Lonchura striata: one gene and its partners. The protein of the gene in region 2 binds, or shares a complex with, the protein of the main gene of each other region. Links are inferred from orthologs where the notes say so. Each region holds a gene or a part of one and is shown on either strand. Other genes may lie near its edges.

Region 1 (7,717 bases), on a different chromosome or scaffold from region 2:
AGGTGTCCCTGCACCCCAGGATCACCCATCAGTGAGCAGAGGTGTCCCTGCACCTCAGGATCATCCCTCGGGGAGCAGAGGTGCCCCTGCACCTCAGGATCTCGAGCAGAGGTGCCCCTGCACCCCCAGGATCACCCATCAGTGAGCAGAGGTGTCCCTGCACCCCAGGATCACCCATCAGTGAGCAGAGGTGCCCCTGCACCCCAGGATCACCCATCAGTGGGCAGAGGTGCCCTTGCACCTCAGGATCATCCATCAGTGAGCAGAGGTGTCCCTGCACCCCAGGATCATGAGCAGAGGTGCCCCTGCACCCCAGGATCATGAGCAGAGGTGCCCCTGCACCTCAGGATCATCCATCAGTGGGCAGAGGTGCCCCTGCACCCCAGGATCACCCATCAGTGAGCAGAGGTGTCCCTGCACCCCAGGATCACCCATCAGTGAGCAGAGGTGTCCCTGCACCCCCAGGATCACCTATCAGTGAGCAGAGGTGTCCCTGCACCCCAGGATCACCCATCAGTGAGCAGAGGTGTCCCTGCACCTCAGGATCATCCTTCGGGGAGCAGAGGTGTTCCTGCACCCCAGGATCACGAGCAGAGTTGTCCCTGCACCCCCAGGATCACCCACCAGTGGGCAGAGGTGCTCCCGCACCCCCAGGATCACCTATCAGTGGGCAGAGGTGCCCCTGCACCCCAGGATCATGAGCAGAGGTGCCCCTGCACCCCAGGATCACCCATCAGTGGGCAGAGGTGCCCCTGCACCCCAGCAGAGCGTCACGCTGGCACCCAGCAGCCAGCCCAGCTTCCCACCTTCAGCTGCTCACCACTCACGCAGTTTCTAAATTCCGGCTTTGCTTTCTCTCCCGGTTCAGCTCCTCATCTCAGCTGCCCACGGCATGAGACAGTCTGCACCTACATCTGCCCTAGCTTTTGGGCAACCTTTCCCAGGCATGCTCGAGACTCCCACATTTGGCTGCACCAGGAGTTCCCTGAGTAAGTTCTGGAAAGCCTCGTGGCGGTGCCTAAATGGGAGATGTGGGGCAGAGCCTGCAAATCGCACATTTCCCTGCCACTGCAGAGGGGCTGCCGGCAAACTGCTCCAAATGTCATCTCCATTTAGCTGCTTCGCGGGCCAATTTGTCACGTCCTAACGCAATTTGCTGAGGAGAGTTAAAGAGCGCGGGGCAGGAGCAGCCGGCCCTCCCCTCTCCGGTCCCGCGGGCAGAACGTGCCTCAGTTTCCCTCCCGCAGCCCGCCGGAGTTCTCAGCGCAGGGAGCTCAGGGTTAACCGAGGAACGAGGCAGAGCTGCTCCCATCCGCGGTGGGTTCTGTGCAGCTCCTGTGTTACCTGATCCACCGCACCGACTCCTTCTGAGCCGGGAGGGGGAACCTCCACAATTAATTGCATCAAACGGCACCATAAAGACAGAGAGGAGTAAATTGGGTTGCTTTATCTTCTTGCCACAAGCGCTGGGGATGCGGTGGGAGAGTCGGCAGGGATGGCTGCCTTGCCTGATAAGGCTTTGCACAAGTGACACCGTTGGGTCACGTCCCCCGCTGCTCGCACCGAGATTCTCGAGTCAGAGCTGCTTTATCTGGTCCCCGGCACCACCCCAGAATCCCACCTTTGAGCTCCGAGGGTCCTCAAAGTGACAACAAATGGCACAAGGACGGCAATAAAGACCAAAAAAAAGAGCCCTATTGAGTTCTAAAGGATCTAACACCTCTGTGTTAAAGGTAAAAAGCCAAACATCTGTTCCGAGGCTGGCACAGATTCTTGCGAGGCATCTGTCCCTCAGCTGTAAGTAGGTCATCTCATTTCACTTTAGTCACCGTTATCAATGAAGCCATCCAGAGCAGGGGGACAGGACCACGTCCCCAGCTCAGCCCAGGTCTGCCAAGCACCTCGAAGCCACCAGTGAAGCATCAAGTGCCCAGCAAAGAGCAGGAGCAGCCTCCGAGCAGTGGTTTCACATCATGGCACTCTGAGAACTTCGCGTTCCCTCACCTCCAAGCCTCAGCTGCTGCTCACGGACGCACAGGGGATCTTTTCCCTCTGCCACTTACTATTCACCTCGCTTAAAATTAACCTATTGACTTTCTGATACCCCTTAGAACACAGATTAATTGAACATCACTCACTTCACCTCCAGGAACGTGCGAGTATTGGCCGTAGCGTGAATGGAGACAAAGCCGGGAATGCGTGACCGTGCCGGGTTAAACGGAGGTCACACCGGCGAGGACGGCTCACCGGGGCAGCCCCGACACCCCCGGGAGCCCCGGGCCGCGGAGAGCGGGGCCATCACCCGGGAGCTGGGATTTCCCGAGGGAGCACAAGTGCACTCGGTATCTCTCCCCTCACCACCTTCCAAAAAGGGTCTCGCGCGGATTTAGGAAAGTTTTAGCGGGGATTTTATGTCTTTTCCCCTAAGATTCGGGGGTGTTTTCCAAAAAAGTGGCTCCTTGCTAACAGGAACTTTTTATGGGGGTGAATTTATCCCGCTGCGTTGGCTCCAGACCGCGACTGAGCGGTACCGAGCGGCCGCAGAATTAACGAGGAGACAGCGATGTGTAACGGGAGCGCGGAGCAGCCCGGGGAGGCGGCGGGCGCTGCATTCCCTGGAACCGGAGCGGTTCCTCCATCCCTTCCCCAGGCACCGCCGGCATCTCCGCGCTGCTCCGCGGGCACGGCCGGGGCCGGAGCCGCCGGGCACCACCCCGCGCTCTGCAGCCCCGGTGCCACCCGCAGCCCCCGGTGCCACCCGCAGCCCCCGGTGCCACCCGCAGCCCCGGTGCCAGCCGGCTCGGGCAGCTGCGGGCGGCACGGCGACAGCGATCCCGCGCCTCCTCCCCGCATCCTCCGGCGGAACCCCCACCCCGGGGACCCCCGCACCCCGGCGGGCAGCAGCCCCTCGCCATCCGCCGCCACTCACCAGCCCTCGGCGCTCCGGTGCCGCCCGCCTCCCGGCTCAGGGCGGGGGGATGCCGGCGGCCCCCGGCACCATGGAAATCCGGGGCCGGGCGGCCGCCGCTGCCCGCAGCCCCTCCGGCTCCCCCGGCGCGGCGCGGCGCGGCTCGGCTCGGCTCAGCCCCGCCGGCCTCTCATCGCCTCCGCAGCCGCTGCCCGAGTGCGGCGAGCGCGGCTCGGCTGCGCTGCGCCCGCCCCGGCACCTCCCGCCGCCCGCCCGGGCGCGCTCCCGGGCGCGCTCCCGCGTTAACCCTTCCGCAGCCGGGGCGCCGGCAGCGCCGCTCGCACCCCCTGCCCACCTCACCTGCGCCGCCGTGTCCCGCGGAGCCGCGCCCGGGGAGCGGCTCGGCGCTGGAACAAAGCCCGGAGCGCCCGGGGCTGCGCGGGGCTGCGCGGCCGGCCCGGCACAGCTGCGCCCGGAGAGCCCCGCAGCTGCCCCGCAGCTGCCCCGCAGCTGCCCCGCCTCGGGGGGGCTGCAGGGACAGGAACGGAGCCGGCAGGTTCTGCCCCCGGCTCTGCCCCCCGCTCAGAGCACCCCTCGGCTCCAGTTCTGGTGGCAGGAGTGACGCCTGAGCGCTCCATTCCTCAGTTTCCCCGTCTCTGCAAGGGCTGGCAGCCTGGTTTTCTGCCAAGGGCGGGTCACCTCCAGCACAGCTAGAGGTGGGCATGTGCTGCAATGCCCCTGAAGCCACTGACCCCAACAGCTCCTGCCAAAATCTGCCAGAAGCCAACCACAGTGGCCGTGGCCAGCTGGGACAGGGAGCCCTGTGACCACCCACTGGGAGCCACAGAACCCCTCCTTGGGCTCGAGTGCTTCAGCCACGGAGCCACGACCTGGCCTTGGCTGCTGCCTCTGCACACGGAGAAACCCCTGGAAGCTGCAGGGTACCCAAAGGGAGGAGCATCTTCCAGCACCTCACACCCCTCTGGCCGCCTGCTGCAGCCCACAGGGGTCTGGAGCACCTGGAGCCAGGGAAGAGAAGGCAGTGGCAGTGCCACAGCAGGACACTGCTCCTGAAAGGCAGGAGCACCACGGCCCGGCTGACCCTGACCCTGAGCCAGCCAGGCTCTGGGAATGATTCCGAGCAGAGCAGCTGGTGGAGGGGATCAATACCATGATGGATTGCTGTTCGGATCTTGTCATCAGGAGTTTTGTAACCATTTTTCTGTTACACATTGGGACAGTTGCAAGAGAAAATCAGAGCCATCATCCTGGGCCTCGTCCACAACAAACCTGAGTGACGGAACCACCCCAATTTCCTCTCAGAGCTCCCCTCCAGCCCAGCCTGTGTCACCCTCACTGCTGTCACCATGGCCACAGCAGTTCCCTGCCTGGTGCACCTCAGCAAGGCCCTGCAAGAGCAGTTTTGGGTGGCAAAGGTCCCGGCTGGGGTTGGCTTTGCTCTTTGCCCCTGCAGAGGATTCAGGATCCCCTTGGAGCCGGGAGAGGTCTCCAGGCTGCAGCTGCTGAGCTGGGGAGAGGCAGCAGCGGGCACTCAGAGGATGGCAGCATCGGTTCCTGAGCAAGCTTTTCTCTCTGCCAGCCCGTTCCCAGAGCAGCTCCTGTGCTGCAAGCTCCCACGAACGGAACCAAGCCCCCAGCAAAGCCAGCTTTGGGTGAATCACATCCCACCAAGCAGCTCCTCGTGAGAGCCCCACAGGGCAGGGCAGCGCATCTCAGCAGCCCTTCCCCTCCTCTCTGCAGGCCCGTGTCTGCAGCCTGCCTCCTGTTTATCATTTACTGATGGTCACTGTGCTCCTGGAATCACAGGCTGCTCCCAGCTGATCATCCCAGCATTGCCGGGCTGGGGAGCAAAGCAGCAGGGGGAGAGCAGGCTCTGCTGGGAGCCCCTGGGTCACGGGTGTGTCTGACCAAGTCAGGAGTGTGTCTGACCAGTCACGGGTGTCTCTGACCAGTCATGGGTATCTCTGACCAGTCACGGGTGTGTCTGACCAGTCACGGGTGTCTCTGACCAGTCATGGGTGTCTCTGACCAGGTCAGGAGTGTCTCTGACCAGTCACAGGTATCTCTGACCAGGTCAGGAGTGTCTCTGACCAGTCACGGGTGTGTCTATCAGGACTTCCAAGCCTGGCTCCACACTCCTGGAAGCGCCGGTACCCAGCTTTGGACACCACCTCGGGCTCTTCCCTCCCTGCCCAGACCCCAAATCAGCCTTTGCTCCACCTTTGCCATCCCCAGGGCAATAGAACAGAGTCGTGGCTTCCCAGACAAGCACGGCAGGGAAACAGCGCAGGGAAAAGAGCCTTTTCCCCCATTGCCGGGGGGTTTGGGACACGGGGAGCCCATCCAGGCGCATTTTTCGGCGTGGAGCGGCTGTGCGAGGCCGAGAGCACCATCTATAGGCACCGTCTATAGGCGCCGGCAGCTCCCGCTGCCGCCCAGCCCCGCAGAAACCCAGCGCAGCTAATAATTATTCAGCGCTAATCACTACAATAGAAGAATCATAGGCAGTTATTTAGAAATGATTGTTTCCCCTCGGTTATTACTTATGACAGTGAAAGGAAGTATCAAGTAGTCAAACCCATGTGTATATGGGAAGCTGAGTGAAGGATCAATGGGAATTTAACCAGCACTTTGCACTATTCTTCCTCTTTAGAAGAACCTTGTCAAGTGATTTTTTTTCTCTCTCTGCTGTTCATCATGTCTTCTTGGGAAATGAAAAGGATTTTTCTTTTCCTAGCGCTCCTTATCCCTTCCTCTCCTCGGATTTTCCCATAACTCCGAGCTCCAGCTCCTGCCTCCGGATCCCCTGGTTTGAGCTGAGCTGAAATTAACTCTGGGTTTTTCTTTCTCAAACAAACTCTGGTTTCATTAAGTGCAAGGGCAGGAGAACAGAAAGTCTCCGGATCCTGAGTTCCAGAGTGTCTTGTTACTGTCAGAAACACAATTGCCTGTGCCGGGGTTGTGTCAGGAATTCCAGGTGCAGACAATGTGCCATTTTTAATCATCTTCCCACAGCTGAGAGCTGAAAGAAAGGGGATCATACAGAGGAGAGCACAAAAATAACCCTGGAAAGAACTCAGCAATATTTAGTGATGTTCAAAAATCAAATACAACATGAAAACATTGGCCAGGCTGGCCCGTACCAGGAGTGACGGTGTCACCTTCTCCTCTCCTTCCCTTGGCTCCTCAGCGTGACCCAAGCTCTGCACACCACTCCCACCTCTTTTTAAATAAATATTTGCTGCATCCTTGCGTTTCCCCTGCCAGGAGCAGGGAGAGGCTCCCACCTCGGTCACAAGCCAACGAAGCGGCCGAGGAAAGGTCACCTGGAGGGGCTGGCAGCCCCCGTGGCCTCTGGTGCCCCTCTGAAGCACAGCTGTGTTCCAAAGTGTCCCCAGAGTGTCCCCAGAGTGTCCCCAGAGTGTCCCGTGAGCCCAGGGCTGCCCCAGAGAGCGGGCACAGGGGCTGAGAGCGGGGAGCTGAGCCTTCCCCAGAGCAGGCCATGGGACTGGGCATCCATCCATGGCTTTTGGAACATTCCCATCCCAGCTGTGACCCAATCCAGCTGTGCTGACCCCGATCCAGCTGTGCTGCCCTGCCCCAGCAGGGCCCCTCCAGCTGCTGGACAGTGCCTGAGGCCAGGACTGGCTTTGCTGGAGCCTCCCAGGGGCGCTCAGGGCTGGGCAGCCCCTCCAGCCCGGGGCTGGGGTCAAAGGGGGTGAGGAGTTAATTATTGGCCCCTAATGAAGGAGTGTCCACACGTGCACAAAGACCCCAAAGGCAGCAGGGCCCGTGGTGACACCGCTGTCCCCTCTGGAGGGGTGCAAAGGGAGCTTTTCCAGGGCTCTGACTGGGGCTCCCCAAAATCTCTGTCTGAATTTCCTCAGGGCCGGCTGAATTCCCCTGCAGGGGGGAATTCCCTCCCCCAGCTCACTGAAGGGGTGTCTTGGGGCAGAAGCATCTCCACAATTTCGCTCAGGTGCTTGCTGTGATTAAAAACATGCTTTAGCAATAAATCTCCCCTGCCCGCTCCCTGCTCTGCGCTCATTGGAAATCTTTAGTTCCTTCATCATAAAGAAATGAGTATTTCAAGCTCCCTGTCCTAATGAAGGTAAAATACAGAGCATATTGTCAAGCACGCTGTGGCTCTGCCTTCCCTTCCACAATAATCTTTCTAATTCTTCTGCAGGCGCTGTGTATCACTGACAGCGCCGAACGGAATGAAATGCAAACCTAAATGATTTTAAACCCTAATTTCATCTCTTTTTTTTTTCCCTCTTGTCTGAGGAGATGGAGATTTTTTTTCTCCCCCTGCATAATAGGTGGGAGCGGGGTGGAACTGGAAATCCTTTGATTTGTGGCTCTGGCAGTGTTAATCTGTTGCTGCAAATTCTGCACAGCTTCTGGAAGTGATGGAGGAACGCACGTTGCTCCAGACTCTTTCCAGGATTCTTAGGAAAGGGAGGGGGATGCTCACAGTCAAACACAAGCCCAGAAGTTTATAAAACTCCTTCTCTTCAGGTAGCTCAGCCAGTACCAGACAAAGGCAGAACAGGCACAAACTCACTTTCAACACCGTTTTCAGTTTGTTACCATCACAAAGAACAGAGATAAAAACAACAAAAGAAGAAAACTTCAAGGGCACCAACCCTTCCATTTCCCCCGAATTTCCATCTCACCTGCTTCTCCAGCAGCTCCTTGCAGCTCTCTCGGTGCCCGGGGCAGAGAGAAGCAGGCTGGGCTGCAGCCCTGGCACCCTCCGGGGCTCCCCTCTGCTGCCTCCCCCTC
Region 2 (7,284 bases):
GTGTGAGAGACTGAGTAGGAGGATAAAAGATGCAGGAGATAAAAGGGCTGAGAGAGGAAAGATATAGACAAGGTAAAATGTATGTCTGATCTTAAAGATAAGGGTAAATAGCTTTGGTTCAGTACAGTAAGCAACAGGAAGCCAAGTAGTGATTCATATGGCCAAAACAACAGAAGAGGTGATGACACAGAAGCCTAGTTTTGGAGAGATTATTGGGGAAGATAAGTGAAAAAAAAATAAAAAAGAAAACATTAGAGAAAAGGATATAAATGAGCACCACACTGTATATGAAGATATTAGTAGACACAGTCATAAAGCAAACATATTTTTATTCTGCACTAAATACTCACAGGAAGTCTCCATTTTCAGGCTTTTAATATTATGGATGAGTTTAATTTGTTGTGTTTCTTTTTCAAAATAATACCAAATAAATGTGTCTTCAGCCATTGATTAATCATTTGCCAAACTTAGTTTTTAATTAAATGTGCTATGTGAGTACATAAAGGAATAAACATCAAAGTTGCTCCCTTCTGCTATTGTTAAAATGGGAAAATGTTTTTTTCCTTTGGAATTTTAAGTTTTATATTACATGATTTAGCCCAAGGCAAATATTTTTTTATGACTGAATTATAAACTTCTTGAGAAACAGGTTTATAACAGAAGTGCAGACAATCTTCAAAAAAGCATTATAAACACCAAGTCAAATAATGAAGCAAAAATGGGCCTGAACCCAAACCCCAAAGCTAGCCACTCCATTAACTTTTACATACATTGGATTCAGATTCAGTCTTTGTAGCACTAACTCATCCTTGCCATAAAATCCCATTACTGATGTGAAAATGGAGAGCTGAACAAATGTGTAAGCAGTTGCAGGATCAGGACCTAAAATTCCATGACTAAATAGTGAGAAGTGGATTATAAAAAGAGACTTCTGAATGTTTCATTTGATGCCAGTTTATATTCAAGATTATTAAAGATTAAACATTTTCAGGTAAATACACATAAACCAAGGATAGAATGTCTTCACTCTTCATTCCAGGGCAATTCATACATGGAAGAAAATTGTGCTTATATCCATGAATGAGAGAGAAAAAGATGGGTGGAAAAATTAGAGTAGTGTCATTCATGTTATGGTAAGGAAGGACATTAACGTACCAGACTCTGGTATATTTTCTAGGCCTTGAGATACCAACAGGAAAATAAATTAATAGATAAATAAATAAAGTCCCATTGTGGAATCCATAATGCCCACACAGTGCTGAGGAAGGGCAGAAATCCTCTTTTATAGGCCATATTAGCCCCAACAGAGGCCATTCCTGTTCAGATGTCTTTGCAGCCTGTTGCACATCTCTCTCTCTGCAAGAAAAGGAAGCACTGATATTTGAAACATAAGAATATTGAAATAAACCTTGGTATATGGATTAGTGATTACAGGTTAGGCCCAGGTGATAAAAGCAACTTTCATCATTATCTTACAAATTACCACATTGTGCCATCTTCCTTAGCGTACATGTTCTGTCTACATTTGTTTTCTTCCAGAGAAAGGAATTTCTTTAAAATTCACCAGCTACTAAAAAAATCTATGTCTATATCCGCAAAAAGTAATTTATTAATCCAATAGAAAAAAAAAATGGATGAAACACAGCGGCTGTTTGGTTGGATGGTTGGTTGGTTGGTTGGTTGGTTGGTTGGTTGGTTGGTTTGGAGGACCAAACCAACCAACAGCATACAGCATACAGCTGACAATGCTTATTTTCTTTCTGCAGATTCCTAGAAATCACCTGACAGACAATGCTAATCCCAAAGCAAGAGGGCCATCACTGTCATACAGTAAGTGCATTTTTTGATGTACATGCTTTCTGGGTATCTGTCACTTAGAGAATTAATATTGGTTTCTGAAACATGTTTTAAAACAAACATGTATATATATATATATTTGTGCAAACCCTTAGTAAGCAGGTCATTTCTGTTTTCAAAAATAGATTTACTTTATTTTAGAGGCTATATTGCTCAAACAGTCAAACTATGATCAGGTCAGAACCCATTTATCTCAAGGACTGTCCAGCAGAATGAGTTTTAATAATCAGAAAGCACTGTTAACTCTCCCCTTCCCCTGTGTTCTGGGAATGTCTCTAAAAGAAAAAAAAATAAAGGGGGCTTAATGTGCTACCCATAAAATATACATCCCAATCAATCAGGAAAATGCATAAGTATTGCAAATGATGATCCAGAGACTGCCTAAAGATGGGGAAATGAGACTGAACCCAATAACTCAATCTGACTAGTTCCAGCCTGCCTGTTTCTAGCCTGCCTGCAGACACAGGCATGGGCAGAAGCAGGGTCATGGGCAGGGGCAGAAGCAGAAGCCGACAAAGGAAAGAATTAAGTGTACAGAGAGTATAACAGGATCAAACTGCATTTTAGTGCACAATATTAGGGAATTGTAATCACGGAAGAGAAGGGGAATGTCTGGAAAACACTCAGAAAGTAGTGGTGAGAGAGTGTGCAGTATGAAACCAGCAGACAGATTTCCTACAGACTTAATCTCCAGACTTCAGCTGACCTTAAACTCAGGGCTTCAAAAGGGCAGCAAGAGAGTGAGAGTAGAAATCTCAGACTCAGAGCTAGAGACAAAGGAGGAGGCTGGATTTGTGTTTCCGTACACAGATGTAACACATTTGTAGTAAATCTGTGTGGCTGTAGACAACTATGTTTGAAAACTATTTCAAATAGGGCTATATCATCAGAATGGACAGCAGTTTACTGCCATGGCTACACTTGGAGGACGACCCTCTCCTCAGCAAAATCCAGCACTTTTCCCACTGCATCCTTTAGAAAAACTCCTTATGGAGTAGGTCTTCTATCAGGCCTTTTTCCTGATGAAGCATTAACAGAGTTTGCCTTGACTGTGCCACAGTAACAAATTGTTTTCAAACTGCCCTGGGACATGACAGTGGCTGACATCCACCACTGGCTGCAGGTAATTTTCCTAGCACAGACCCATCTTTGGGGGCCATTTAATACTGTGTTTCAGCTTTCAGCCTTGGAGCTCTTCCTGTAACCCCTACCCCAGCGACTCGATTGGCCTCACCATAGAGGGTGTGCAAAGTAAAAAAGCAGTTGGGTTCAGCAAGGTGATCACTCCCCAGGTGCAGGGACAGCCGGTAAGGCAGGGCAACAGGGCAAGGAAGAGACAGGGTCCATAGGTGGTGAGCACCAGACCGTGCAGCCAAAGCAGTAGGATTCAGAGCCCGCTATGTCCCCGCTTTGTTCCGTTCCTCTGGTGCCAGTGGTGGTGGAGGGGAGAATGCTCAGGAGGAGACACGCACTCCCCAGTGGGGATTTCATGCTGCACAGCCTCCTTCGGGAGCAGAGCCGGCCCTGGGGACCCCAGCAGCTCCTCAGCCCCTCAAGAGGCTTCAGACAGACTGAGACGGGCAAAGCTGCAACAGGAGCTGAGAGAGCAAGAGTGGGTGAGAAGGGAGGTGGGAAAAGGGTCGGAAGGGAGGGGAATACGGGGACGTCTCCCCTTGCAGATATGGAGTGGCCAGATGAGCCTGACACCTGGTGGGTCCTGGCAGCTCACCCCACATCAGCACAGCCTGCTTCCTCTAGGACAAGAAGGGACGGTGGGGGAAGCATCAGCAGTGGGACGAAGTCCCACTGGGGACTTCGAGGGACACGTATTCTCACACGAAACAAAAAAAAAGAGTGTTGGAAGGGGGAGAAGGCGGCGGAGGAGGGAAGGGTGGCAGAGGGGATGGCCCGGGAAGGGACGGGGCAGGGTTCCCACGGGGTACCCGAGGCGAGCGAGCCGGGAGGTGGGCAGGGGTGGGTGCGTGTGTGCGTGTCTGTGTGTGGGGCCGGGCGGCAGGCACGGCACGGCAGGGCACGGCAGGGCACGGCAGGGCAGGGCCGGGCAGGGCAGGGCCGGGCAGGGCTGCGCGGGGCCGCAGGAGCCGCGGGGCGGCGGGCGCAGGTGGTGCCGCCGCCCGCATCGGCTCTACCTGCCCTGGCGGGGACCGCCGCCTCTCGCCACCCCTCTGCTCCTCGCGTTCCCCCTCGCCAGTCCCCGCCTCGGCTGAGCGCCAGAGCCGGGGCTTGCCGTGTTTGTTTGTTCTTTCTTCCGCGCTGCCGATGTCTTGGGGGGCTGAGAAAGAGGAGGAGGAGGAGGAGAAGGAGGAGGGCGGGGAGGGGGAGGGGACTGGGGCTTGGGAGACGGCGGTTCCTCGGCCTCTCTTATTGCCGCTGAGTTGCGCTCCTCTTCCTCAGGCTGCGAGCAGGAGCCGCCCGGGCGCTTCCCACTTCCCCGGCCGGCCGGCAGTCCCTGCTGCGGCAGCGCGCTCGCTCGCTCGCCTCCCGCCGGGGCAGGTGAGTGCGGGCACGGCCGGGCACGGCCGGGCACCGCCGGGCACCGCCGGGCACCGCGCCCCGGAGCTCCGCGGCTGCGGCCCCGCGGGAGCCGCGGCCGCTGGAGAGCGGGGCAGGCAGGGGGGAAGCAGTTTGCCAAACTCCAGCGCCCGGCTGGTCTCCGCCCACGGCCCCTTTCCCTTCCTTATCTCCCCTCCGCAGAGCCCCTCGCCCAGCAGAGCGCTCCCGAGGTGTCGGCAGCCGCCAGTATTTTTTAATCTGTCTTGTTTGTGTGTTTGTTGGGTTTTGTTTTCGTTATTTTTTCCCCTCGTTTTCATTTGGCTTTCTAGTCTCGCTGGGAATGGCAAAGGCAGCCGCGCCTGGAGAAGGAACAAGTGTGGGGAAAGAGAGAGGGAGCCGGAGCTAAATGACAGGATGCGGGCGGCTTGAGGCACAGAGAGAAGCCAGCCTCCTTCTGTCCCCGAGACTGCCCCTGCGGACCGTGCTTTCTGCTCCTCACTCCGGCTGGAGGATTTAAAGAAGAGTTGTGCGTGGAAGGCATTTTTATTTTTTTTTTCCTCCTTTCCCTGCTGTCGGAAGGGAAAATGGATTGGGGACTTCTCCTACACTGTGCAGCCCTCACCTTCACCCTCGCCAGGGCTCTGCGGAGCGGTGAGTGTCACGGGGGACGCTGGGTCTCAGCTCGGGCGGTGCGGGGCCGGGCTCCGGGGCTGCCGGCGCGGGGGGCGGGCGGCGGTGCCCGGCGGGCCGTGGGACCGGCACCGACACAAACCCGGCTGGGGGAACTTTCTGCCGGAGGAGGGATGCAGCGCAGTCCTCGTCTGAGGGTCGCCCTCCCCGTCATTGCTTTCCGACTTTATTTTCTGCTTTCTTGGGTTATTGTATAAAGCAGGCTGCTCATTCTCACTAGGTAGGACAGCCAATTATCTTAATAATGTCCCGTCCCATAGGCCATTAAACGCCTCTCCTTCGATATCTGAAAGATAATGAACACCTTAAAGGGAAGGCTCTCTTCCCCTCCCGCCCTTTCTGTTTTCCAAAGCGTAGAATTTTAGATCATGCCTCCTACTAGCTGTGTGTGTACCTGCGAATAGTCTTCACACAGAGAACTCTCTAGAGTACCCCTTTCCCAAGTCTGCAGTTTACATGCAACTTACACTGTGCCAAGAGAGGAGCTGAGCTTCTCTGTGAAGGCTCGAGACCGCCTTCCAAGAGGAGAAATCACATAACAAATGAGTGGTGTGGCTAGTTTACTGTCAGGCAACCCTTGAAAACACAACTAATTAAAAGCGGCGTGCTCCTCCTTCCCCGAACAATGCCAGGGCACTGTAAATGTTCCACTGCATGATGCATTTTTAAAGATGGTCTAATTGTGGGACTGCCTGACATTTAGCTCTTGCACATGAAACAGTTAACGTGAATCTTCCTTTCCTGACAAATCCTGAGCAATTATTATTAACTAATTATCAAATATTTACTTTTGTCTGACTGGGTTTTCAATCAGAGTAATTAAAAGAAGAGAGCAGCCTCCACTTACACTGGTATATTGTTTTAATAAGGGACTGCAAGTGGAGTGTCAAGCAAGAATATTAAAATCACATGTTTTATGATAGAAGTTAATCTGTTTCCCAATATGTTTCGAGGACGCTGCTTAGTTTAATCAGGACGAGCTTCCTCCTCCAGTGCTGTGGCACAGGAGCAAAGGTGCTAGAGGGGTGCACCAAGCCTGATGTGGGGATGCTCCGAGAGGTGCACTTTGCTCATCCCCCAGCCCAGCTCGGGGTGTGGACAGCTGCCTCCCACACAGACCCATACTGCCACCCTGTACCTCTGAGGGACAGTAGGGGCCACCCCCATGCTCTTGTTGATCATTTCTCCCTGTGAAGAGGAGGAGAGTGGTTAACGTGGTGGTCCTGCTGGAGTCACCAAGGCCATTAACCTCCTCTGCAACCTACCGGACCTACTAATGCCACCTTCACCTACATGCAGTATTAGTGTCCACTAAATTAATTCATTAACCTTATTTGGAACTAATGGTCCAAAGTCATTAGAAACTGCTCTTCTTAATCAAGTGTGAGAGAGATTGCACAGAGCCAAGGAGTCTAGCAGACCGCATTATCTTATTACACTGTCACTTTCCCAGAAGTCGCAGATTAAGGAGCGCTGGTGGTAGTGAGTCCACCTCAGCGTCCTCTGAAGTGACTCTGTCAAGTGACTAGAAGCAGCACTGCTTTATTTCAAGTATTTAACAAATGCCAGACCCTGCCATGTTTGCAGGGCTGGAGTGGGCTTAATGAGACAAGATCACTTTCTGAGTATGCTTACACAGGGAGGAAAAGGCAAGATTCCCTGAGAGCCCCAGACAGCGGATTAGCAAGATCACCAGTGACAGCTTTTGAGCTTTAAGCACCAATGCCTTTTGTTCTGGTCAGGGGAAAACAGCCTGTTTGCAAAGGCACAGCAGAAATATAATAAGATAGCCTTTCCCAGTGACATGCTTGGCAGTATCTGGGTTTTGACCATACATCCGAGTACCTATCAATCCCTTCCCTCCTAATTTATGGCAAATAATTTCTATAAAGAGTGTTGCTTTATGCATTTTTGATGTGTGCTTCCTCATTCATTTCCATTTGACCTGTTTTTTTTCCTACAATAAAATCCTGTATATTTATAAATTCATGCTGAGAGCAAGGATTGCCATTTTGCTTTCACAGGGAATGTATTAGATAGAGCACAGCAGCCTGTATATATACCATTATTGAAATGTAGTGATATATAGTCTTGCTTTAGTGGGGACATTCTTCCTTTCCATAGTTTACTGTCATGTTTTATTGATCAAAATTAAACAACCAACACTTGGAAAAAGTTTTTCCCACCTGAAGATCCACAGAAAGAAATCCATAGTAGTAAAAA
Region 3 (7,898 bases), on a different chromosome or scaffold from region 2:
TCACAAGAAACCGATTCCCACACGGCGTTAACCCTCAGCACACCCCGAGCATCGTAAGATCTTGGCCAGGCTCTCCACACGAATCCAGCCCCGGCACGGCGAGAGGGAGCTGGGTTTGACTGCAACCCCTCGGCATCGGGAGGCAGAGACAAAGCGGTTCAGTAAAAGGAAAAAGATGCAGCACAAAAGGGGCGCCGGCATCTCTCCTCCCCCTCCTCAAGCTTGCGAAAGTGGAGGAATTGATATGAAAGCGGCTCCGGCAAGCCAGAGCCCCCCGGGATGGGGCTGCCACAGACGCTCCTGCCCTGCCGGCAGCGCAGCTCCGCCGCTCCCCTGCCTCTGCTCAGCCCTTCGCTTTGCCTCACCCAGCGGCTGCCGAGAGCCAGGCTCTCTGCGCTGCAGGGAGGGATGCTGCCAGGTGAATCCGCTGAGGAAAAGCTCAAATATTCCCTCTCCCCGCGGAGAAGTTCAGCATCTCCCTTCGGGCTGGCAGCGTCCCTCCCCAGCCGGGCTGCGCGCACGGCGCGTTTGACACCAGCCCTCGGTGCCTGCCAGGCAGTTACGATCATCAAGCAAATCTTGCCTACAGCACCGTGATTGATTATCAGCCCGGCTTCTAAAACACCCGTCTTGGACATAAACAACGCTTAGATCATGCGGTTGTCATTTATTTCGCGTGGTATCCATACCGCCGAGCGCCACACATTTAGGATGGGACAGAGAGAGAAGAAGCCTTGGAGTGGTCCTTTCGGGAAGGAGACACCCCCATGGAGGGTGGGTCTGGGCAGAGGAGGGGAGAAAAGCCCCAGGTTTTCGTGCCGGAGCTGGGGTTGCGTGTTTAAACCTGGCTGCACACGCGAAGCGAACACACACACATCTGTTGCACCGCTTGAAGCCCGGCTTAGCGAAGGATCCCACACACACAAACAAACAAACAAACAAACACACAAGCACGCACTTCCCCAGGCAAAAAATTAAAATAAAATAAAATAAAATAAAATACCACAAGCAAAACGCTGCTCGCATCCCCTGCACCTCCAGCCAGAGGCTTAGGAAGCACCTAATCCCACGCTGGGAGGCACACGCCGTAATAAAAATCACAGAGACGCCAAAGCCCGTGCCCCCCGTGCCCCCCGTGCCCCCCGTGCCCCGCTGGTCCTGCCCGCTCGCGGATTTCTACAAGCAGCACCCGGGTGAAACAGAGGGCAGGTAGAGAAAACAAGTTAGCACGCTTTCCGCCCTCCAAAATATCTGTGCACGCTCAACACGAGTCCCTAGAAGGCTGCGAGCAGCTCGTATCGGCTGTAAAAACCCCCTGGCACCGTCATTGTTCCCAGGGAACGAGAGCATCCCCCGGCAGCATCGGGGGTCCCGGTGCGAACCTCCCCTCTGCACCACTCACCCCCAGGACTCGGGGAGCTCCAGATTCCCCTCGCTTTTCCCAAAATTTCTCTTCCCAGGCATCGCCTCCCGGCAGCGGAGGGAAGCCGTGGACAATCAGGTGCGCTTCCAGCGAGCTCTCCCGCACGGCTGCGTTGGGAAGCAGCGAGGGGTGTGGAAGTTTTTCGGGAGAGCCACACGCCTTCCAGCGGGTCCTTCCCACCAGGGCGAACCCTGCGGGTCCTACCCCCGCATCCAGCACGGCGAACGCCGCATCCCTTCCCGGCACGGGGAGCAGATGGAGCCCCGGGAGGAGGATTTCCTCCGGGCTGGGGATGGAGCAGCCGCTACAAACCCAAACAGCCCTGCTGGGGCTGAGCAAGCGGGTTTGTTTGTCTGCGAGGAACTCAGCTGCTGCCGGAGTATCAGATTTCCACCAAAACAACGTGGATTTCCACCAAAACAACGCGCGGCTCGGTGTTTAGATCACTTCTCCCGGTCTACATAATTTAAGGGCATATGTGTGATAAACGCAGAGCATCGATACGCAGGTTTCGCTTGCAGCACGCACATGCACCGAGGGAAAGGAGGGAGGTTCAGCAGCGCTGACTCCGCAGCCGGGATTTGGGCAGGAAAACTCTCCAGCACCTTGCAGAAAGGGAAGAGACGGGGGTCTGCCCTTCCCTGTTAGGTGTTCGCCACCGGGGCTGGCCCCTGTCCCCATCCATCGGGGATGGGGAGGTGTTATCCTCCCCGGGAATAGGGCTCTGCCTCCAGCCCCGTCCAGCTCCATCCTCACCGGGAGCAGGAAAAGTTTGCAAATGCCTCCAGCCCCTCGCCCGAGGAGAGCTGTGGAGCATCGAAGGGGGAAAATACCCCCCGAGAGGAGGAAAACCCGCAGCCGGGGGATGCCGAGGGTGATGAGGGACGGGCTGAGCCGCTACCTCCGGGGAGAAAAGTTGAGCCTTGTGCATGGGGAAAAAGCCATCGGGGACTCGGGAAAGGGGGACACCGGCCACCGCGTCCCCTCCGCGCTGGGGATGTGGAGAAGGGGGGCTCCCCGCCGCGGCCCCCCGCCCAGCATCCTCCCAAACCGGGCCGGGAGGAGCGGAGGGGCCGTGCCCGAACCCACCGGCTCAGCCCGCTGTCCGCGGGGGTCCCTGTCCTCCATCCCAGACCCCCTTCCCGAGACCCGGGGATGGGGAGCAGCGCCTCCCAGAGCCCCCCCTCCACTGCCGCCAGGTGTGGAGGGCAGGTACCGCTGCAGCCCCGCCAGCCCTCCCGGGGCATCCTCCGGGGCATCCTCCGGGGCATCCTCCCGCAGCCCCCGCTACCCGGGCGGGGCGGGAGGCTCCTTACCTGGGAATGCTCCTCGCTTGCTTTGGGTGGGTTTTGGTGTATATATATATATCTATATATATATATTAAATTTCTCTCCTCTCCTTTCCCCCCACTTCAGTCTTCAGAGCAGGCGCCGCATTGACACTGCAGATGGTCTCTGTGTGCGTGTGTGTGTGTGCGCGTGTGTGCCTCTCTCCAATCCCAAATACTCCACGGAGGCGGAACACGGAGCCCCTCTCTCTGCACTGGGCAAACCGTGTCTGGCTCGCCCAGAGCCGGGGTGGGGGGAGAATGGGGGGGAGGGGGGGTAAACGCAGCTCCAGTTTTCACTCCCCCCCCCCAAATCACCCCTTCCCTCCCCTCCCTCCCTCCCTCCCCCAGCCCTTCCCCCCCACCCCCCCGCCTCTAGACCAGCCAGGAGTGGGGGGAGCCGGGCAGCGGGGCTGCAGGCAGGGGGCTGCAGGCAGGGGGATGCAGGCAGGGGGATGCAGGCAGGGGGATGCAGGCAGGGGATGCGCTACGGGGCCATGCCCGGCTCCGCGGCCTCCCGCCCGCCGGGGAGGGCTCGCACTGCGGCTGTCTCGCCAGCCAGCCCTTCCTCCCCAGCCCTCCTCTCCAATGGTGGCTGCGGAGCCGGCTTGGACACCCAGGCTCTTTTGCAAACACAGGCACACGCAAAGGCACACACCCCTTTCCGAAAAAAAAAAAAAAAAAAAAAAAATAAAATAACCGGAGAGGTGTAGAAGTGCTGTGGCAACAGCAGCCCAATGCACGGGGGAGGGATAATAAAAAATAATTAATAAAAAATCGAAGCGATAATAAAAATCCCTTTCTATCCTTTTTCTCTTTCTTTCCTATATATATATATATTTTTTTAGCTTTGCAGAGAGAGTGGCCGGTTGCTCCTCCTTTCTCCAGCCCACCCACCTCCGGCAGAGGGGAGAAGGCGGAGGAGCGCAGGTTGTCTCTGGAGGGGGTCCCCCAAGGCGCTTTTCGTCGTCCTAAAGTTTGCAGGGGATGGGGATAGGGATGGGGACGGGGAGGGGAGCGGGGCCGCCTCCCGGGGCTGCCGCCGCCGCTCTCCCAGGGCTGCAACTCCGCGGCTGCCTGGATTCCTCCTCCTCCGGTGCCTTCCCTCGCTCCTACTCACTACTGACACCTAGGATCTCCAGCCTGATTGGGCTAATTGGGAAACGTCTCTGCCATCCCCCCCTCCACCCCCCCCCCCCAAAAAAAAAAAAAAAAATATAATAAAACCCAAAACGCACTTACGGAACCAACCGCATCTCGCTGCCTGCCCCCATCTGCTCCTCCTCAGAAAAGGCTTTGGTTGGCATTTCCCTTCTCTTTTCCCTGCCTTCTCTTCCCTCTCCGGGCTGTGCCCTGCTGCTCCCCTCCGGCTTGGAGCCAGCGCGGAGGGGAGCGGATCAGAGCGGGCGTGGGGAGGCTCAGGGGCAGATCAATCTCTCAGCTCGGGTGAGCAATAATCCCGGAGAGCGGCTGCAAGCTGCTCCCCTGGCCCGGGATCCCTGTAATTCCGGGCAGCCGCAGGAATAAATGTATTTTTTAGAAGCTGCATGAGTTTGGTGTCCCCCAGGCTGCCGGGGGGCAGACCCCACCCCAAAAGTTCATTCCGTGAGTGAGACCCGCGCTCCTCCCTGGAGGTGATGCCAGGGGCAGCCCCGGGGCAGGCAGCAGGTGCTGGGAAGGGCAGGGATGCTCTCAGGGTGTTGGTAGCAACAGGGCTGCTCCCCAGGGAGCCCCGATTTCCTCAGGATGGGCGCCTCACAAAGGTCTGAAGAAGAGGAGAAGCAGCTGGGGGAGATCCCCTCTGCTTTCGGGGGGATTGGCCATGCTCAGGCCGGGGAGAAAACTCTGCAAGTGACCCTGCAGATTCCCCTTTCCCAGCAGAAGGCAAAGGCATCCGGCAGGGATGCAGGGGGTGCCTGGGAAAGGGGGTCCCAGCACCCACGGAAATCCATAGCTGAGATCAGAGGCAGGAATTGCCTCTCCAGGGGTTGTGCAGCACCAAACACAGCAGGACTCCCCCTCCTCCTCCTCCCCACAGCCTCCACCATTGACAGAAAATCAGGCTTAATCCGAGCTTAGTATTTTTAATTATCTTAAATTTATGCCACAAAGCACGGGGGCCGGGGGCTGTCTATTTGCATCCTCCAAGCTATTTATTTAGAAACAATATCATGTTTTCCTTAAAACAAGTTTTATCTCCCCGGCGCGTGCCTGTGAGCGCGCCTGTGTGTGTGTTTTGCCTGAGCTCCGGTTTACATTTCCTGATGGATGGATGGAGATTCAGAGCCCTTTTTTTTATTTTTTTTTTATTTTTTTTTTTAAGGTGGTGCATAAAATGTATTTATTATTCTTTATCTCCTACCTCTCGCAAGGAGTCATTTGTTTTCATTCAGAGAAATGAATACGATGTGAAGCCTGAAGAGTAATAACACAGCGAAATGACAACGGAGGAGCGAGACAGGAATCTGAGAGATACAATGGCAGGTTAGTAACCTCTAAAGATCACTGCTGCTCTGAGTGCTACAGTATTATTGAGTGTCCAGCCTGCCTCGCAGCTCCATTTAATAAAAACATATGAAAACCTCAAGGAAATTCGGTCTCGCGTTTAAAACCTGTCCCGCTAAACACGGATAATCTGGATATGCCCAGATTGCTTCCCGCTAGCTGGTGGGGAGGAAGAAATTAATACCAGTTCTTTCTGCTTCTTAAGACAATGGCACGAGTCAATAGATGCCCGAGCTGTTTGGGTTCATGAAGGAGGGAGTGACAAATGAGACTTTATTTATAGGCCTTTTCATGAACCGGGCAGCGGGGGCGGAAAAGGGTTAGGGCTGGAAAACCCAAATGACCTCCCCTGACCTGTGAATTTCTACAGCAAAAGGGCCCAAGGACAAGGAGGGCTCAGGCTCACCCTGGTGTCACCCAGTGGATATTTTCCCTCTCACAGAGAGGTGCTGGGCACCCCCTGCTCTGCTCCAGGGGGAAAACCAAGCGGGATCAGAGCTGCCTCAGCATCATCCGGGATGAGGCAAAATCCTCATCTCCATCCAAACAATCTCACACAGCTGATTTCCCTCCCACTGCCCCTAAAGATCCCCCATTGCCCCTGAAGTCCTGGGTGCCAGCAGCCTCCCTGAATCCCTCTGTGCTTCCTCCCTCACTGATGAATCCTTTCTTTTCTTACCTTATTACCTGAGCCACACACAGTGGCACACAGGAGTCACTTCCATCAACACCCAAAGAACAGAAAACACCTATTTTTGCCAGCACCATCCACCTGTACACTTGAAGACTCCAACAACAGAGGACGAGCCCATTAGGAGAAAGAAGAAAACAAGAAAATAAATTTTTTAAAATTAAAAAATAAAAATAAAAAAGGGAGAGAGAGAGAGAGAAAGGAAATCTAAGTTAGATTGTGCGGGGTTTTTTCTATTATTCTTTCCCCCCGCCATTTTACAAGTTTGTTAAAGCAGCGCGGTGTTTAAGTGGCCGCAAGCTGCTGCAGCTCCGGGCTGAACGAGCGCTCAAACCCAACATCGCAGCGCCACCTGCAGCGACCGCGCTTGGTGGCAGCTGCAAAATCCCCCAAACCGTAAAAAACCAGCCCGGGGAGAGGGCTGCTAACTCAAAATCTTATTCCTCCACGTCTCTTTTTTACCCCCTTCTTCCCTCTGCTCTTTAAAGTCCTTCTAACTTGCCCCTGTCTGTTGATAGACGAAAGAAAATTGGTCTCTCCTGGGCAGCTGTCACCATCCCTGCTGCTGACAAAGGATGTCTTTATCGTGCTCAGGAGGGTGGGAAATTCTGTGCGAGCTGGTTTAAAGCTGGGCCGGGGCTCTGCGTGGTCACTGTGACACCCCGGGGAGGGACAGGGTGAGCTCTGCCCCTAGGAGCAGTTCTTGGCTTCAGGGGGTGTCACTCTCTCGGATTTTGGCAGTGCTGCCAGCTTCAGGAAGGGTTGTGCTGATGGAAAATGAGATAACAGTGCTACCCCAAAAATAATGTATGAGAAGAAGTTTGCAGGGAAGAGCAGGATTGTGCCACTTGGTCACCTTGCCTTGCCCAAACATTTTTTGCAGCATCGTTGCAACTAATTTTGGGTGATGGATGGAAAAAAAAAAAGCTCTTGGGAGGGTCCATCTCAGCCACCCTCTGTGCTTTGTCCAGCATTTCCTTGGAGCCTTGGGGGTTTTGCACACTGGATTCTCGGAGAAGCCCAGGGTGTCCTGGCATGGAGCAGAGGGGAGCCACGAGCCCTTTCTCCTGTCACTGCCTCTGGCAACTCCCTGCCAGTCTCTCCTTAACTCCCCTGCCAGCCTTTGCAGGGATATTTTCTGGGGCAGATTTTTCAGGAGGATATTTATAAATAAAAATTGTAGCAGTTATCCAGCGTCTCCCTCTTCCCAGCCCTTCAACAGGCACAATGAAATGTCAAACAGAGGCAAGGTTTGCCTTCTTTTTTTTTTTTTTTTTTTTTTTTTTACCACTTCTTTGGATGTTATTGAGGGAAGCAAAATCTCCTTCTATGTTGTCCCAGGGTCAAATGCAGCAATCCACAGGAGACAGACCTGCAGGGTGTGGCTGTCCCCTCCCTCTCCAGAGCTCCTTCCCATCAGTGTGTGCTCCGGTCCCTGTTAGCACCTGCATTCAGACACCAGCTCACCAACCCCTCAAGTTACAGGAAGATTTCCAGAGCTTCCAGCCCAAGTTTCCCCTCTTGGCTGCAATTTCATTCCTGTTTTCTCCCTTCCCATTCCCTCTTCTCCACCCCCCTGCTCCAACTCCAACCTCCCCAGCGAAGTGCCACTTCCACAGAGGATCTGCCCTTCCCAGCAGAGGCAGGGCTGTGAGAGATGCTCATTGCCCATCCCACCCACCCACCCAGAGGGGATTTATGATGTACTCAGCTGGACAGCATCATCTGCACATCTTCCATCCCCAACCCTCCCCTTGCCCTCCTTGCCCTCCCCCGTTCAAACTCCCCCAGGGACAATTTTTCTCCTTCCCCCTTCAAATATTTGCAGACCATTATCGCCTCTGGTCACACCCAGGCTGTCATTTGTCCAAACAAAACAGCGGGAGGAGGGACAGGGGAGAGGGGCAGGTGGACAGAGGCAGGGTGAGATGGGAGCCAGGGGAGCAGTCAG

The links.
Region 1: the proteins of NRP1 (region 2) and PLXNA2 are in contact, whole or in part, in a crystal structure (PDB 4GZA), measured with the Mus musculus proteins. The link is inferred for Lonchura striata from reciprocal best matches to the Homo sapiens genes NRP1 and PLXNA2. Residues at the interface, in NP_032763.2 of Mus musculus: Glu78, Arg80, Asp81, Lys83, Tyr84, Asp126, Tyr127, Glu128, Thr129; in NP_032908.2 of Mus musculus: Asp273, Leu274, Phe275, Glu306, Lys341, Gly342, Gln343, Lys344, Gln345, His348, Pro350.
Region 3: the proteins of NRP1 (region 2) and PLXNA4 are in contact, whole or in part, in a cryo-EM structure (PDB 7M0R), measured with the Mus musculus proteins. The link is inferred for Lonchura striata from reciprocal best matches to the Homo sapiens genes NRP1 and PLXNA4. Residues at the interface, in NP_032763.2 of Mus musculus: Arg80, Tyr84, Asp126, Tyr127, Glu128; in NP_786926.2 of Mus musculus: Glu272, Lys340, Lys343, Lys345, Leu349.

The regions. Positions count from the first base shown.
Region 1 is NC_134632.1:5,093,436-5,101,152, forward strand, and holds the start of PLXNA2 (plexin-A2), read right to left. Parts: upstream 3,052-7,717; 5' UTR 2,930-3,051; intron 1-2,929. UniProt on the Homo sapiens protein: Coreceptor for SEMA3A and SEMA6A. Necessary for signaling by SEMA6A and class 3 semaphorins and subsequent remodeling of the cytoskeleton. Plays a role in axon guidance, invasive growth and cell migration.
Region 2 is NC_134603.1:142,991,005-142,998,288, reverse strand, and holds the start of NRP1 (neuropilin-1), read left to right. Parts: upstream 1-4,248; 5' UTR 4,249-4,371; intron 4,372-4,700; 5' UTR 4,701-4,955; coding exon 4,956-5,022; intron 5,023-7,284. UniProt on the Homo sapiens protein: Cell-surface receptor involved in the development of the cardiovascular system, in angiogenesis, in the formation of certain neuronal circuits and in organogenesis outside the nervous system. Mediates the chemorepulsant activity of semaphorins.
Region 3 is NC_134607.1:70,815,136-70,823,033, forward strand, and holds the start of PLXNA4 (plexin-A4), read right to left. Parts: upstream 3,018-7,898; 5' UTR 2,740-3,017; intron 1-2,739. UniProt on the Homo sapiens protein: Coreceptor for SEMA3A. Necessary for signaling by class 3 semaphorins and subsequent remodeling of the cytoskeleton. Plays a role in axon guidance in the developing nervous system. Class 3 semaphorins bind to a complex composed of a neuropilin and a plexin.